Linked DNA regions of Macaca mulatta. The protein of the gene in region 1 interacts with the protein of each later gene in a biochemical or structural test. Links are inferred from orthologs where the notes say so. Each region holds a gene or a part of one and is shown on either strand. Other genes may lie near its edges.

Region 1 (4,764 bases):
GATTCAAGTGATTCTCCTGCCTCAGCCTCCTGAGTAGCTGGGATTACAGGCACACACCACCATGCCAGGCTAATTTTTGTATTTTTAGTAGAGACGAAGTTTCACCGTGTTGGCCAGGCTAGTCTCGAACTCCTGACCTCAGGTGATCCACTGGCCTCGGCCTCCCAAAGTGCTGGGATCACAGGCGTGAGCCGCCACGCCCAGTCTAAACAATCTTAATTGATGTCATTAGATATCCATAAATCCTCAGATGCACACTGGGTTAAAATGATAAATAACACAAAGGCCCACCCTCTAGGTCCCTCTCATTCAAAGAAACATCTGATGAGAACATCAGAAAGGACTTGAGAGTGAAGTTCAAGGCCAGGAGCGTGGGGCTCAAGAGTTGGAGAGCGCAGGCTCGAGAGTCACCTGGATCTCCGCTCAGTTCCCAGCACCAGCGCTTCATTGCTGTGTGCTCTTGGATAGGACGCTTGGTTTTCCTGGGTCTGTTTTCCCATTTGGAAAATGGGCATAATAATAGTGGACCTCATGATGCCTTACCCCTCAGCTGAGCTGGCATTATAAATGGCATTGTAAGAAAGGGAATGACATGAGGCCCTTCCCAGGAATCTGAAAGGAGAGGAACTCGGCACTGTGGGAGGCCTGGATTGCAGGGTGTGGAGGAAGGGGACCCATAGGGGAGATGGCCTCCCCACTGGTTAAGGCAAAGAGAAGAAGAGATGATGCAGCCCCAGGGGAGGAGCACCCTGGAAAGCTGGGCCGATCACCAGACCCCTCTCACTTTGTGGGTTGGAGTTTTGAAGGCTCTTTTGTGGGATGATCCCAGGAATTGGAGTTTCAAAGCTGATATTTGGGGCAGGATGGAGGGCTCACCCCCGAATGGGAATGTAGATGAGCCACACACACACACACTGCCCCCAGTCACTGACATTTTAGCTGAGACCTGAAAGCAATAATCCCCAGGGAGAGTGCTTTAATGGTGGAATTCCAGGCAGAGCAAGGACGAGTGGAGAAAATGGCTGGACACATGCCCTCAGGTTGCACACATATGTCAGGACCCGTTCCACACCCAGGAAGAAACTGCCCTGCTTTGAAAAGCAGTTTCTCCCAAGTGCCTCAAGTACTTGAGATATTTAATAACATTTCAGAGCATTAAAAACTCTGAAAGAAAAGAAAGCCTGCTACCGCTACCCTTGAGGCCATGTCCCCATCCCACCATGCCTTGAGATCACAGGGCTTTGTGGTTTTTGTTGGGTTGGTTTCTTTGAAATTAGGGATTATTTTTAATGCGCCAAGACAAATCAGTTTCAAAAGATAAAGCTTATAATGTTGACTTTATTTCACCATGGACATTTTGTGCTCAAAGGTAAGAAACCATCTTATATAAAACAATCAAATAAATACATAAATACATTTAAAAAAAATAGAGTCACTTCAAAGATGGCCACAGGGTTGAGGAAAAAGCTCCTTGTGGAATCAGAAGCAGGTGTCTGCAGCCAGGACTTCCTCTTAATGTCGCCTCAGCACTGTCAGGGCAAGACAGAGGGTGATGATGGTTAGGGTGGGAGATGGAGGCAGGGGCTGAGCTTCCCTCACCGTGTACCACCTGCCACCCTGTTAGTCATCAGACGTTTGAAGCTTAATGCAACTCTCTGAGCCTCAGTTTCCTCATCTGTAAATTGGGGATTATCATCGCTCTGGTGATCCTGCTCTCTGCCTTTGAGACTATAGACAGTTTAGAGGAAACCAGGAGGAGATGTTTGGTTCTCTTTCTGCACCACTGAGGGGCTGCCAAATGATAAACAGACCCCAAAGGAGATTCTGCCCGTTTGATAAGAGGTAGGAGGTGAGGAGAAAGTGTTGCGGGCATGGTAATGAAAGAGGCCCACATTTACTAATTCCACAAAGGCACCCCTTGGCCCTGAAGGCTGTTAACAAGAGGAAGTGATGTCCAGGTGACCTTTTCTCAAAGAGTGTGGTTCCCAGAGACAACAAACCCCAAAGTGACTCTAAAAGTGTCACACACTGGAATGGGGGCAGGCGGCCGGGGTGGCAGGGGTTGCTCACCTTTGCAGCCCAGGCCGCTGGAGGAGCTGATCCGGTCCATCTTCCTCCCAAAGCAGCCAGACCCTCGTACCATCTTGGGGCTTCGCGGTGCCCTCAGGGTGTACAGGACCATTTTGCGGTGGCCACGGATGCCCTCAGTGGCTGCCTCCTGGGCCTTCCAGATACCTGTGGGACGGGGGCTCTCCTGGGGGGGCTCCAGGGATATCTGCTCCACCTGCAGCTCTGAGAGTTTGCCCTGCAAATGGTTGTGCTGCTCCTGCAATGGATGAGGGAGTCCAAGCCTCAGGGACCCATCCCTGGGCTCACCTACCCTTCATAGCACCCAAGTGAACTGACTGCCTTGGGTACAGGGTCATGGCAGCCAATCTCTCCATTTTCTGATTCCTTTATCACTAATTCCAAAGGAAAGGTGAAGGCCTCTTGGGACAGCAGGTGAGGACCCTTTCATTGCTGCTGTCCATTCCCCCTGAGTTGCCCTCCGCTCTCACCTGTAACCCAGACGTTTCCAAGTCCAAGGCCGAACTGCCCAGTGGGTGGGAACGACCTCCCGGGAGAGCCAGGTGCAAGAAGAGCAGAAGCAGGAGCACCCGGGAAGGTGCTGTCTGGGGATCCATGTGTCTGGAGGGACTGCGGAGGCTGCTGCTGCTGCTGCTGCTGTTGCTGCTGCTGCTGCGATGTGTCCGGGTTTGCTTCCCACCTGCCCTCAGCCTGCGGGTGCTCCTCCTGGCTCCTCGGGATACCGTGGCCTTTTATCCTGGAGCTGAGTGTCCGCCCGCCCTGCCCTGCAGGGTTATCTCTGATTTATCAGCCACATTCCGGACCGCTGAGATCAGGGCCCGGGAATGATCCCCTCCGCGCCTGCAACGCGGGAGGTGGAGACCGGGCAGAGCCGACCTTGTATAGAAATGGGCCAGGTCGGGCAGGGGGCAGGAACGCGCTGGAGACACAGACAAGTCCACGTCTCCCGCTTCTTCCTTTCCTGCAAAAGCCTGGGTGTCCTAGGTTGGCGCTTGCGTCTTGCCTCCCCACCCACTGTTGCTGGAAAAGGCAGGGAGAACCCCGGCGTTCCGAGGCCCGACGTGAGCGCGGGGTGCACAGGGTGACTCAGAACGAAAACAACCCCGGCCAACACCCCGCCACCCACGGCGTGTCTCCCCTTCCCTCCACGCGCGAGTTCCCTGGCCCGCACGTAGCGCAGCACCTGCTCGCGGCTGTGCACCCTGCTCGCCTGCGGGTCCTCAGGGCGCCCTGGCCGCTGTCCGTGGTGCTGATCGTCCCAAGGGAACTTGGAGCAAACTCTTAAGAGCTGCTCTCTTCGACAGGATTTTCAGGCCAGAAAGACCTGCGTAGAGCAGGGACAAGAGACCTCTGAGACCCTTCCCTATGCTCTCACAACCCCTCATCCTATAGCCCTTACAGCAACGGGTTGCTGATTCCCCAATGGCAGTTCATTAAAAGCCTGGGTATGACCAGGAACTTCTGGAATGCTGACCCTTCTTTCACCCCTTAAAGGGAAGAGCAGATTTCGCTGGAATTTTGAGAGACAGGGCCCAGTGATGACGAAGTCACCCAGGAATGCTTTATATGTGTGTCCTCCAGGTGTCAACACCTCCTCTCCCCCACCAAGCCAACACAGGATAGAAAACAAAAGTATGGGCTGGGCGTGGTGGCTCTTGCCTGTAATCCCAACACTTTGGGAGGCCGAGGCGGGCGGATCACAAGGTCAGGAGATTGAGACCATCCTGGCTAACATGGTGAAACCCCGTCTCTACTAAAAATACAAAAATTAGCTGGGCATCGTGGCACATGCCTGTAGTCCCAGCTGCTCAGGAGGTTGAGGCAGGAGAATCGCTTGACCCTGGGAAGAAGAGATTGCAGTGAGCTGAGATCACACCACTGCACTCCAACCTGGGTGACAGAGCAAGACTAAAAAAAGAAAGAAAGAAAAAAGAAAGAAAGAGAAAGAAAGAGAGAGAGAGAGAGAAAGAAAGAGAGAGAGAAAGAAATAGAGAGAGAAAGAAAGAAATAAAGAGAGAGAGAGAAAGAAAGAGAGAGAGAGAGAAAGAAAGAAAAAGAAAGAAAAAAGAAAGAAAGAAAGAAAGAAAGAAAGAAAGAAAGAAAGAAAGAAAGAAAGAAAGAAAACAAAAGGAGGGCTGGAATGGTGGTTATCTATTTGCTGAGACACCAGAGATATGGGGAGTTCCCCTCTCCCAGTGCCTCCTTCATCTGGTCACCCATGAACTAATTCTCATTAGCAGGTGTCCTGGGCCTCCTGTCTGTGATTAGAAATGAGACTTTGAAGAGAAATTGCCCTGGAAAGAGTCATGGCAGCTAAAATACCCACCTCAAGCATACAACTGATGTCACTCGCCTTCCAGAGAATTGGGGTCAAGAAGCAGCAGGCTGGAGGAGTGGAGCTGTCTACAAGGGGAGAAGAGTTATGGCAGAGAAGGGCAGCAATAAGAAACTGGGACCTCTAAGCAAATCTTGCCTAAAAAATAGCATCTGCCCCTGAGGTGAGAAAAGCATGGTTATTATTCCTCACTTCAGACGAGGAAATGGTGCTCATGAATTAATCTACTTTCCAAAAGTCACACAATTGACACATGACAAAGCCCAGATTCCAACCCCAGGCAGGCTGATTCCAGACCTGAAGCTCATAATCACTGACAGGGTGATCACAAGGTGTTTCTA
Region 2 (4,851 bases), on another chromosome or scaffold:
GGGATAGGGAGGATGATGGAAAAAGGAATCAAAGAAAAGGCAAAGAATTGGTGATACTGTATAGCACCGTGCCCGACCAACCATTCCAGGGAAGCTCCCAGACCTCCCAATGCATATCTATTAGAACCAAAATATGCCCAAGGATGCAACACTAAGGAACTGTGGTCTCTCAGATTAAGAGATTGGAGGAACTATGAAAAGAAGAAAAGGGCAAGATAAATTGAGGCCAACAGTGGGGCTGAGGGCTAGTGTCTTACCTTGACCATTAGACTCCATTCGAGAAGCAGTGTTCACTGTGTCTCCAAAAAGACAATAACGGGGCATCTTCAGGCCAACAACCCCAGCACAGACTGGCCCTATGAGAAGAAACAGGTTGGGAGAGTCTGGGAAAGGTGGAGATTAGGGCTGGAGTGAGACTCAGCCTTACCAGTATGGACCCCTATGCGTAGCCTCAGCTGGTCATGGGGTCGGTGGCGGATGCGAAAGGAAGAAACTGCATCTAGTAATGCTAGGGCCATACGAGCAATTTCTGGTGCATGCCGTTGACCATTTCGGCCTGGGAGGCCAGATACCACCATGTAAGCATCCCCAATCGTCTCCACCTGATTGAGAGGGGGATTAAAAGGTCACCTCTATTTGTATCCATGGGGATGGGAAAGAGTAGAGGGAGACAAGCTGGACATCATCCTGACATCCTGGAGGCCAGAATATTGACTAGAAAATAAGTGCCATGGTCCTGAGAGTCTAGGGGAGACGAGATGTCAAGGGAGTCTTTAAGTCCTCTTTCTCCACCCAGCACCTGGTGAATACTCAGTACACATTTGCTGAATGAATGAACACCCTGTCTGCAGCAGGACATGGACAAATAGGCTCTGCCATCAGGAAATGGGAAGCAAGACAACAGGCTAAACTCAAGAGGACAGAGGCTGGTAAGGAGGTAAAGCAGGCCCAATGAAATGACCAGACAGCCCAAACTGTCAGGAAGAAAGCAGGCATTTGATGCTGGTAATTGTACCAAAGGTATGTAAGAGAATGAATGTCATTGTTCTGCCACATGCCAAACAATGTTAGGCACTTTCTATACAACAAATCTATTATTCCCATCTTACAGATAAAACAACTGAGGCTCAGGGTGATTCTGTTACTTACCTATAAGGCCACATAGTTAGTAACAAGCCAATATTCAAATTCAGATGATTTTTACTCCCAAGGACAATAAATCCAACTCAATGACTTCAACAAAAAGTTTTACTTTTTAAAATATATTTTCCCTCACCCCACTAAATCAGTCTGGACCCACATCCTATATGATTCTTCCATGTCTGGAGAGGACTGGAGAGAAATGTTGGATTGGCTGCATTTATACTCCAGGGAGATAGGAGCTAAATCTCATGATGGTTCTAATTAGGGAAGCCAAAGGATTCACAAGAAATTCAACTGGAGTGTACAATGACAGTGCTGGAGCTACATCTGTTTACAAAGTACACTCCAGCACCAGGATGCTGGGACCCCTGGAGGGAAAGCTGATCATGGGGTGGGTAAGGTGTGTGGGGTTCAGGGAGACTGGCTTTCAAAGGGGGTCTCTATTAAAGAGTCTTCTATTGAAGAGCCACCCCAGCTCTCACCTTGTAGACATCAAAGTTGTCAATTATGGCATCAAAGCAGGTATACAGGTCATTAAGAAGTGTCACTACCTAAAAGGGATAGAAAAGCAGAGGCCCTGAAACTTGTACCCAACTTTCTAAGAATTCTTAACCCACGAGCCATCACAAGATGTGGGAACTCTAGAACAAACTCATCTTCCCTGTTATCAATGAGGCTTCCCCAGGTCCCTACCCACCCGACCCCACCCGCTACCTCTCACCCATGGCTCTCACCTGCATGGGGGTGCTCTCTGCTGACAATGCTGTGAAGCCAACAATGTCACTGAAGTAGATGGTAACACTGTCAAAGGCCTCAGCCTGTACAGTCTCTCCCCGTTTTAACTGCTCTGCCACTGAACTAGGAAGCAAGGGTGCTGTGTGAGCCAAACTCCAAGAGAGTAGGAGCAGAAGAGAGAGGGAAGGTGCATGTGGCTGCAGCAGATATGAGCTGAAACAAGAAAGCTGGGCTTTGCAAGTGGGAGGGAGGAAAGTGGCTGGGAAGACATTACAGTCAAATGCAAGGTAAGGCGCACAAGTGGCAGGGGCTTTTGAGGAGATCCCTGTGCATGGGAGCTGTCTCAAGTTGGGACTGTTTTACATACACTTGCTGAAGCAAGGGCATGGTAGAGCAGTGTTGTAAGAAGGGATGGGAAGCCAGTAAGAAGGCAGCACAGCTGATGCAAAGACAGAATGACAGCAAAAAATCTATAGCCAGGGGGACTCCCTGTGGCCAGCAGCGTTCTGAGGGTCGGGAGGCAAGTTCGCAGGTGCCTGATGAGGCAGAGCCCAACAGAGCAGAATCCCAAAGGAAAATTCAGGAAGGGGGACAAAGTCTCACTGGGGTAGAATTTGGTAGAGCAGAGCCTCAGCCTTGCGTTTTTCCTCCAGATAGGCCTGTGTGCGTTCCTCCACCAGCTTCTCCAGGTTATTGGCATACTGTTCCATGCGCAGCAGGAGATTGTCCAATATGCTGGTGCCACCCTCCCTGTGGGGAGGCCAGGATATGGCACTTGCTCTAAGATTCTGAAGACTCCCAGGACTTCCTATCCAACCCACCCTCTGGTCCCACCTGCCCCACTTCATGCACTAGGACTAATGAGGCTTCTATCCCTGGGAAGCCCCTGCCCTATAATGCCCTCTCACTTGTTAAAGCGTCGAATGAAGCCCTTAATCTGTCCAAAGTCTGGCCGCTCAGCTGGGTCCTGAGCCCAACATCGCTCCATCAGCAAAACTAGCTCTTCATTCAGCTGGGTCCGGTCAATGCTTGGTCGGAAATATGGCCGCTGACCATTTCGTACCTTCTGGACAATCTCTGAGGGTGATCAAAGGTTTGGATGAGGAACTGAGTTCCCCCAGGAAGAAGAGGCTGTGGGTAGTGGATTGACTCTTACCTTTGGGGCTGAGGTCCAGGCCCTCCAAGTAGAAAGGACCACTGCGAAGTGCTATCTCCTGCAGGATGATCCCAAAGCTATAGACATCAGCCTTCTGCATGCCTGTGGTTGGCAAGGGGTTCCCACTGAGCAGTTCTGGGGCAGTCCACAGCTTCTCTGAAAAGAGGAAACAGGCTGGCCAGGTCCCCCAAAATGGGGTACCCCCAAGCCCACCTGGGCTCATCCCTATATTACTGTCACTCCACCTCCCTCTCCCACCATCCCTAGGTGGAAAGAGCAGCAATATATAAAGTGGGTTGTGGGGGTGGGCCTCACTGGCATAGAGGGCATGGCTGTCATCAGGTTCAGCAGTTGATCGGAAGCTGGCCAGGCCATAGTCTGTGATTTTGAGCACAAAACGACTATCCACCACACAGTTGGAGGACTTGAGACTCCCATGCGATGAAATAATGCTGTTGTGGAGAAAGGCCATGCCCTGCAAGGTACAGATCAAGTCATGGGACTAGATCATATCTGGCTTAGAATACCCTCTCTCCATGAGATGGGCGCTGGCTAGCTGTCTACAGATCTTAGGTCCACAAAAATAATAAGCTGATTTTGGAAGGCATCCTTTGCAGCTTCCACCCAAGGAAGCAGGAAGAACAGAAGAGTCATCTCTTCCTGGTATCATAAGCAGGACACAGGCACCCAGCCACCAGGGACAGGGAAAATGCTTAAAAAGATGGATAAGTGGAGCTACCAGTGACTACCCTGGAAAGGGCAGTCAATCTTGATTAGTGAAGAGAACAGAACTTGGGTGAAGACCAAAATGATATGACACCCATGGTGGCCTCAGATACCTGGCTACTAATTAGAAAGACATGACTTGAGACCCAGGTATCAAGAGTAGCTGGATATACCAAGGAAGACCAGTTGTAAACTTAAATGCATAACCATGTGTAGGTGGGCAAGTCCGGGTAGAGGAGGAATAAGATCTACTAGAGGGAATGCTGGATCAGAGAGAAAGTACAGAACATCATAAATCAGAAAAACCTGGAAAATGGACAAAATCTGCTAAGCCAGTGCAGAAGCCTAAAACTGCTGGCTCCGTGGGTCCACAGAGGGAAGAACATTTGCCTCTGAAGAGCTGAAAGACGGCCTTAAAGGCCGGGCTCAGTGGCTCATGCCTGTAAACCCAGCACTTTGGGAGGCCAAGGCTGGCAGATTGCTTGAGCCCAGCAGTTCAAGACGAGCCTGGGCAACATGGTGAAACCCCATCTCTACCAAAAATACAAAACTGAGCTGGGCACGGCAGCACACGCTGTGGTTCCAGCTACTCAGGAGGCTAAGGTGGGAGAATCACTTGAGCCCAGGAGGTCAAGGCTGCAGTGAGCAGTGATCTAGCCACTACACTGTAGCCTGGGCAACAGAATAAGACCCAGTCTCAGGAAAAAAAAAAAAAAAAAAGTCTTAATGATGCTCCCCAAAAATGAAACCCTAGGAGCCACCCAAGTCCGTTCAGGTGAGACAGAAAGAGGATACAAGGTTCAATATGCTAATGAAAAACATTTTTGTCTAAATGTTTAGCTCTGGACTTAATTCATAACTCTAATGTCTAATCTCTAATCTCTATGAACTCTTCCTTTTTATTTCTTTTGGTATCAACAAAACTTTTGGGAATCTCTGAAGTTGTGAATTTACTTGTGTGGAAACTGTGCAAAGGATGCCTTCAAAAATCACAGGATTAGGCTTCTGGCTTTGTTGTAAATCACTTTTCCACCAAATCACTATTCTCTCAAGAGTCGTGTTTTTCTTATATTTATCATCACTCCTCTAGT
Region 3 (4,414 bases), about 120 Mb from region 1:
TCTACTAAAAATACAAAAAATTAGCTGGGCGTGGTGGCGTGCACCTGTAGTCCCAGCTGCTGGGGAGGCTGAGGCAGGAGAATGACGTGAACCTGGGAGGTAGAGCTTGCAGTGAGCCAAGATCACGCCACTGCACTCCAGCCTGGGTGACAGAGCAAGACTCCATCTCAAAAACCAAAAATAAATAAATAAAAAATAAATAAGGATTTGTTTTAATATCTACTATGGCAAATATCAATAGATAGTCACATAAACAAAAGCTCTTTAGGTCCTTAATACTTTTTTTTTTTTTTTTTGAGGTTGAGTTTCACTCATTTTGCCCAGACTGGACTGCAATGGCACGATTTCGGCTCACTGCAACCTCTGCCTCTCGGGTTCAAGCAATTCTCCTGCCTCAGCCTCCCGAGTAGCTGGGATTACAGGCGACCACCACCATGCCCAGCTAATTATTGTATTATTATTATTTTTTTTTGAGACAGAGTTTCGTTCTTGTTGCCCAGGCTGGAATGCAATGGCGCGATCTCGGCTTACCACAACCTCTGCCTCCCAGGTTCAAGCGATTCTCCTGCCTCAGCCTCCTGAGTAGCTCAGACTACAGGCACGGGCCACCATATCCAGCTAATTTTTCTATTTTTAGTAGAGACAGGGTTTCCTTATATTGGCCAGGATGGTCTCGAACTCCTGATCTCGTGATCCACCCGCCTCGGCCTCCCAAAGTACTGGGATTACAGGTGTGAGCCACTGCGTCCGGCAACTAATTTTGTATTTTTAGTAGAGACTGGGTTTCTCCATGTTGGTCAGACTGGTCTCAAACTCCTGATCTCATGTGATTTGCCCGCCTCAGCCTCCCAAAGTACTGAGATTACAGGCGTGAGTCACCGTGCCTGGTGTTTTTTTTGTTTTTTTTTGAGACAGAGTCTCCCTCTTTTGCCCAGGCTAGAGTGCGGTAGTGCCATCTTAGCTCACTTCAACCTCTGCCTCCTGGGTTCAAGAGATTCTCCTGCCTCAGCCTCCCGAGTAGCTGGGATTACAGGCACATGCCACCACACCCAGCTAATTTTTGTATTTTTAGTACAGATGGGGTTTCACCATGTTGGCCAGGCTGGTTTTGAACTCCTGATCTCAGGTGGTCCATCCGCCTCAGCCTCCCAAAGTGCTGGGATTACAGGCATGAGCCACTGTGCCCGGCCAATAATAATAATTCTTAAGGGTGTAAATGGGTCCTTAAACCAGTTTCAGCACTGCTGGGCAATTCATAGGCTGTTACTACTCTCAGAGCCTGCATTCCCAGCTTAAGAATCGAGTCTTTTTTTACTTCTTCTTCTAGGCCCTTGTAGAACAAGAAGCGAGAGTCTTATTTGAAGTAGAGAGTGGAGAACTGACTGTTTTCTGGCAACCCTCTCTCCCTCAAGAAGAGACACTGTCACTGGAATAAAGATTTTAATTGTCTCTGCTCACAGTAGAAGCAAGGCATACAGGCCCCCAACCCTTCTGCGCCACCCCTCTTCTCCCCTGTGCACTGTGTCTATGGCTGCGTGGAGGGGGTCGGGGAATCAGGTATTGTGGGCCAGGCCCAGATGTGGGCTCCCCTGCCCTCACTTCACCTAGTCTCTTTTCTTGTTCCCCTTCAGGTGACTATTTCTCCTCCCAATAAGTCACAGGGTAGCAAGGCTGAGGGAGGAGAGCATGGGGAGGGGAGGGGAGCAGGAATCCACAGCCCAGCCCGGCCTGAGTCCAGGTGGAGAGCAGGTGCATGTGCCTGTGTGTGTGTCCCTGTGCATGGCCGTGGGCTTGGCTCAGCCTGTAAGCGCTGAGATCCCCCCATGCCAGTCCCCTCTCAGAGGTCCTATCTGGTGTCTTCACTGGGGTCAGCACACCTGAGCTATTCAAACGACTTCCATCCTTTGGTGATGGGGCTGCTGTGGGCGAGGCTGAGGCCTGGCACCTCTGTGGCTTCTGGCACAGGGTAGGGAGGTGTGGAGGGATAGGAGAGGAGGCAGGTCAGCCTCGGGTGCTACTCCCCCGCTCCCCCAGGAGCCAGTAGGTCCGAACCTTGCCTTTGCCCTGGAGGGAAAAAGAAGAGGATGGGCTGGTGAGTGGCACATGCCCTTTCCCCAGTCAGATGAGAGGCTTAGGGATGGGAGTGGTGTTGGCTGCTTGAGAAGGGTAACTCCTTCTAGGACCCCAAAAGGTGGGGAGGACAGAGGCTTCCCCCTCTACCTTCATTTCTACATCTCCTCGAAGCTCCAGCTCGAAACCACCAAACTCCTCCAGGACAGCCTTGGTCTCAGAAGACAAGTGGATCTTCAGGGCTGGGTAGGACAGGGGAGAATGGAAGGTGACCGATGTGAGACAGGAGAGCAGGAAAGTAGAGGCAAAAGAGACCAGGGACTGTGGGGGTGGACAGGTACCCTCTCTCCCTCTTTTCCCTCTCTAGCTCAGAGCGGCCCCACTCCCTGCATGTAGTGCGTGACATTAGCCTCTCACTTAGAACTCTGGAGCTGTGTAATCCAATACAGTAGCCACTAATCACGTGTGCCTGTTTCAACTTAAATTAATTTAAACTAAATACAGTTAAAAATTCAGGCTGGGTGCTGTGGCTTACACCTGTAATCCCAGCACTTTGGGAGGCTGAGGCAGGAGGATCACTTGAGGCCAGGAGTTCAAGACCAGCCTGGCCAATATGGCGAAACCCCATCTCTACTAAAAATACAAAAATTAGGCCGGGCGCGGTGGCTCAAGCCTGTAATCCCAGCACTTTGGGAGGCCGAGATGGGCGGATCACGAGGTCAGGAGATCGAGACCATCCTGGCTAACACGGAACCCCGTCTCTACTAAAAAATACAAAACACTAGCCGGGCGAGGTGGTGGGCGCCTGTAGTCCCAGCTACTTGGGAGGCTGAGGCAGGAGAATGGCGTGAACCCGGGAGGCGGAGCTTGCAGTGAGCTGAGATCCGGCCACTGCACTCCAGCCTGGGCGACAGAGTGAGACTCCATCTCAAAAAAAAAAAAAAAAAATTAGCTGAGTGTGGTGGCTCACACCTGTAATTCCAGCTACTCAGGAGGCTGAGGCAGGAGAATCACTGGAACCTGGGAGGTGGAGGTTGCAGTGAGCCGAGATTGCACCACTGCACTCCATCCAGCCTGGGCAACAGAGCGAGACTCTGTCTCCAAAAAAAAAAAAAAAAAAAAAAATCAGGGCCTCATTTGCACCCGTCACATTTCCAGTGATCAGTAGCCACATGTGCCTAGAGGCTACTGCATTGGACAGCACAGAATACAGAGCATTTTCATGACTGCAGAACATCCTGTTGAACAGCACTCTGGAATGTCACTGGGCTCAACACAGCATAGTGCTTAGGAGCTGGCAATTTGGATCCTGCACTGCCTCAGTATGAACCTCAGCTTGGATACTTGCTTGGGTATGTAATATAAATTCTCTCTGCTCCTTTTCCTAATCTGTAAAATGCTGATAGTGTCAGTACCTATCTCAAAACCTTGTTGTGACGATTAAATTCAACATCCATAAAGTATTCAAACAGAATGTGCTACCTAGGAAGCACTATGTAAATTGTTGCTTTCACGATTTAATAAATTATACCCTCATTTTGTGGCCGAGGACCTGAGGTCCAGGGTGATCTGCCCAAGTGGCTGAGGAGGTCAGTGATGGAGTGGGGCCCAATATTGCCACACCCTCTCTTTGACCACTGTCTGAACTCACGTCCTTACTTCTGGGGTTTGCATCAATCACAGCGGCCTTGTTGTGTTTAACAGTTTCTTTCTTTTCTTTTCTTTTCTTTCTTTCTTTTTTTTTTTTTTTTTGAGACAGTCTCTCTCTGTTGCCCAGGGGTGCAATCTCGAATCACTGCAACATCCACCTCCCGGGTTCAAGTGATTCTCATGTCTCAGCCTCCTGAGTAGCTGGGATTACAGGCACACGCCACCACGCCTGGCTAATGTTTTGTATTTTTAGTAGAGACAGGAGGTTCACCATGTTGGCCAGGCTAGTCTCCAATTCCTGGCCTCAAGTGATCTGCCTGCCTTGGCCTCCCAAAGTGCCGGGATTACAAGCGTCGCCGGCACCCAGAATGTTGAACAATTTCTGGCAATGTGCTCCTTGAGGACTGGACCTCAGCAAGGGGCTCTACTCTGACAGCTCCCAAAACAGTGCCCAGGGAATATCTGCCGAACTAGATCCCTCTGGGCTCCCAGAACTGGCTCCCAAGCAGCCTTTCTTTCACCATAAGGTTTAGATGGGGTCCACGTGAATTTCTCAGCTAACTCTGGGTCTGGATCATGTTACTATCCAAGGGCCTGGTATTCAGTAGTCACTCAATAAATGTTTACTGCATTGAATTATGTCGAATACAGTAGGAGGACGGAAGATAAACAGGAGGCAAGAGCAAGGGGCGGG

The links. The genes of interacting proteins can lie anywhere in the genome.
Region 2: the proteins of NPPB (region 1) and NPR2 form a complex in vitro, tested with the Homo sapiens proteins (3 studies listed by BioGRID). The link is inferred for Macaca mulatta from reciprocal best matches to the Homo sapiens genes NPPB and NPR2.
Region 3: the proteins of NPPB (region 1) and NPR1 form a complex in vitro, tested with the Homo sapiens proteins (2 studies listed by BioGRID). The link is inferred for Macaca mulatta from reciprocal best matches to the Homo sapiens genes NPPB and NPR1.

The regions. Positions count from the first base shown.
Region 1 is NC_133406.1:228,871,402-228,876,165, reverse strand, and holds NPPB (natriuretic peptides B), read right to left. Parts: upstream 2,820-4,764; 5' UTR 2,685-2,819; coding exon 2,559-2,684; intron 2,327-2,558; coding exon 2,071-2,326; intron 1,530-2,070; coding exon 1,513-1,529; 3' UTR 1,319-1,512; downstream 1-1,318.
Region 2 is NC_133420.1:63,890,429-63,895,279, forward strand, and holds part of NPR2 (atrial natriuretic peptide receptor 2), read right to left. Parts: intron 3,510-4,851; coding exon 3,350-3,509; intron 3,191-3,349; coding exon 3,035-3,190; intron 2,956-3,034; coding exon 2,787-2,955; intron 2,629-2,786; coding exon 2,482-2,628; intron 2,002-2,481; coding exon 1,878-2,001; intron 1,695-1,877; coding exon 1,626-1,694; intron 603-1,625; coding exon 428-602; intron 357-427; coding exon 258-356; intron 1-257. UniProt on the Homo sapiens protein: Receptor for the C-type natriuretic peptide NPPC/CNP hormone. Has guanylate cyclase activity upon binding of its ligand. May play a role in the regulation of skeletal growth.
Region 3 is NC_133406.1:113,344,631-113,349,044, forward strand, and holds the end of NPR1 (atrial natriuretic peptide receptor 1), read right to left. Parts: intron 2,313-4,414; coding exon 2,184-2,312; intron 2,090-2,183; coding exon 1,887-2,089; 3' UTR 1,424-1,886; downstream 1-1,423. UniProt on the Homo sapiens protein: Receptor for the atrial natriuretic peptide NPPA/ANP and the brain natriuretic peptide NPPB/BNP which are potent vasoactive hormones playing a key role in cardiovascular homeostasis.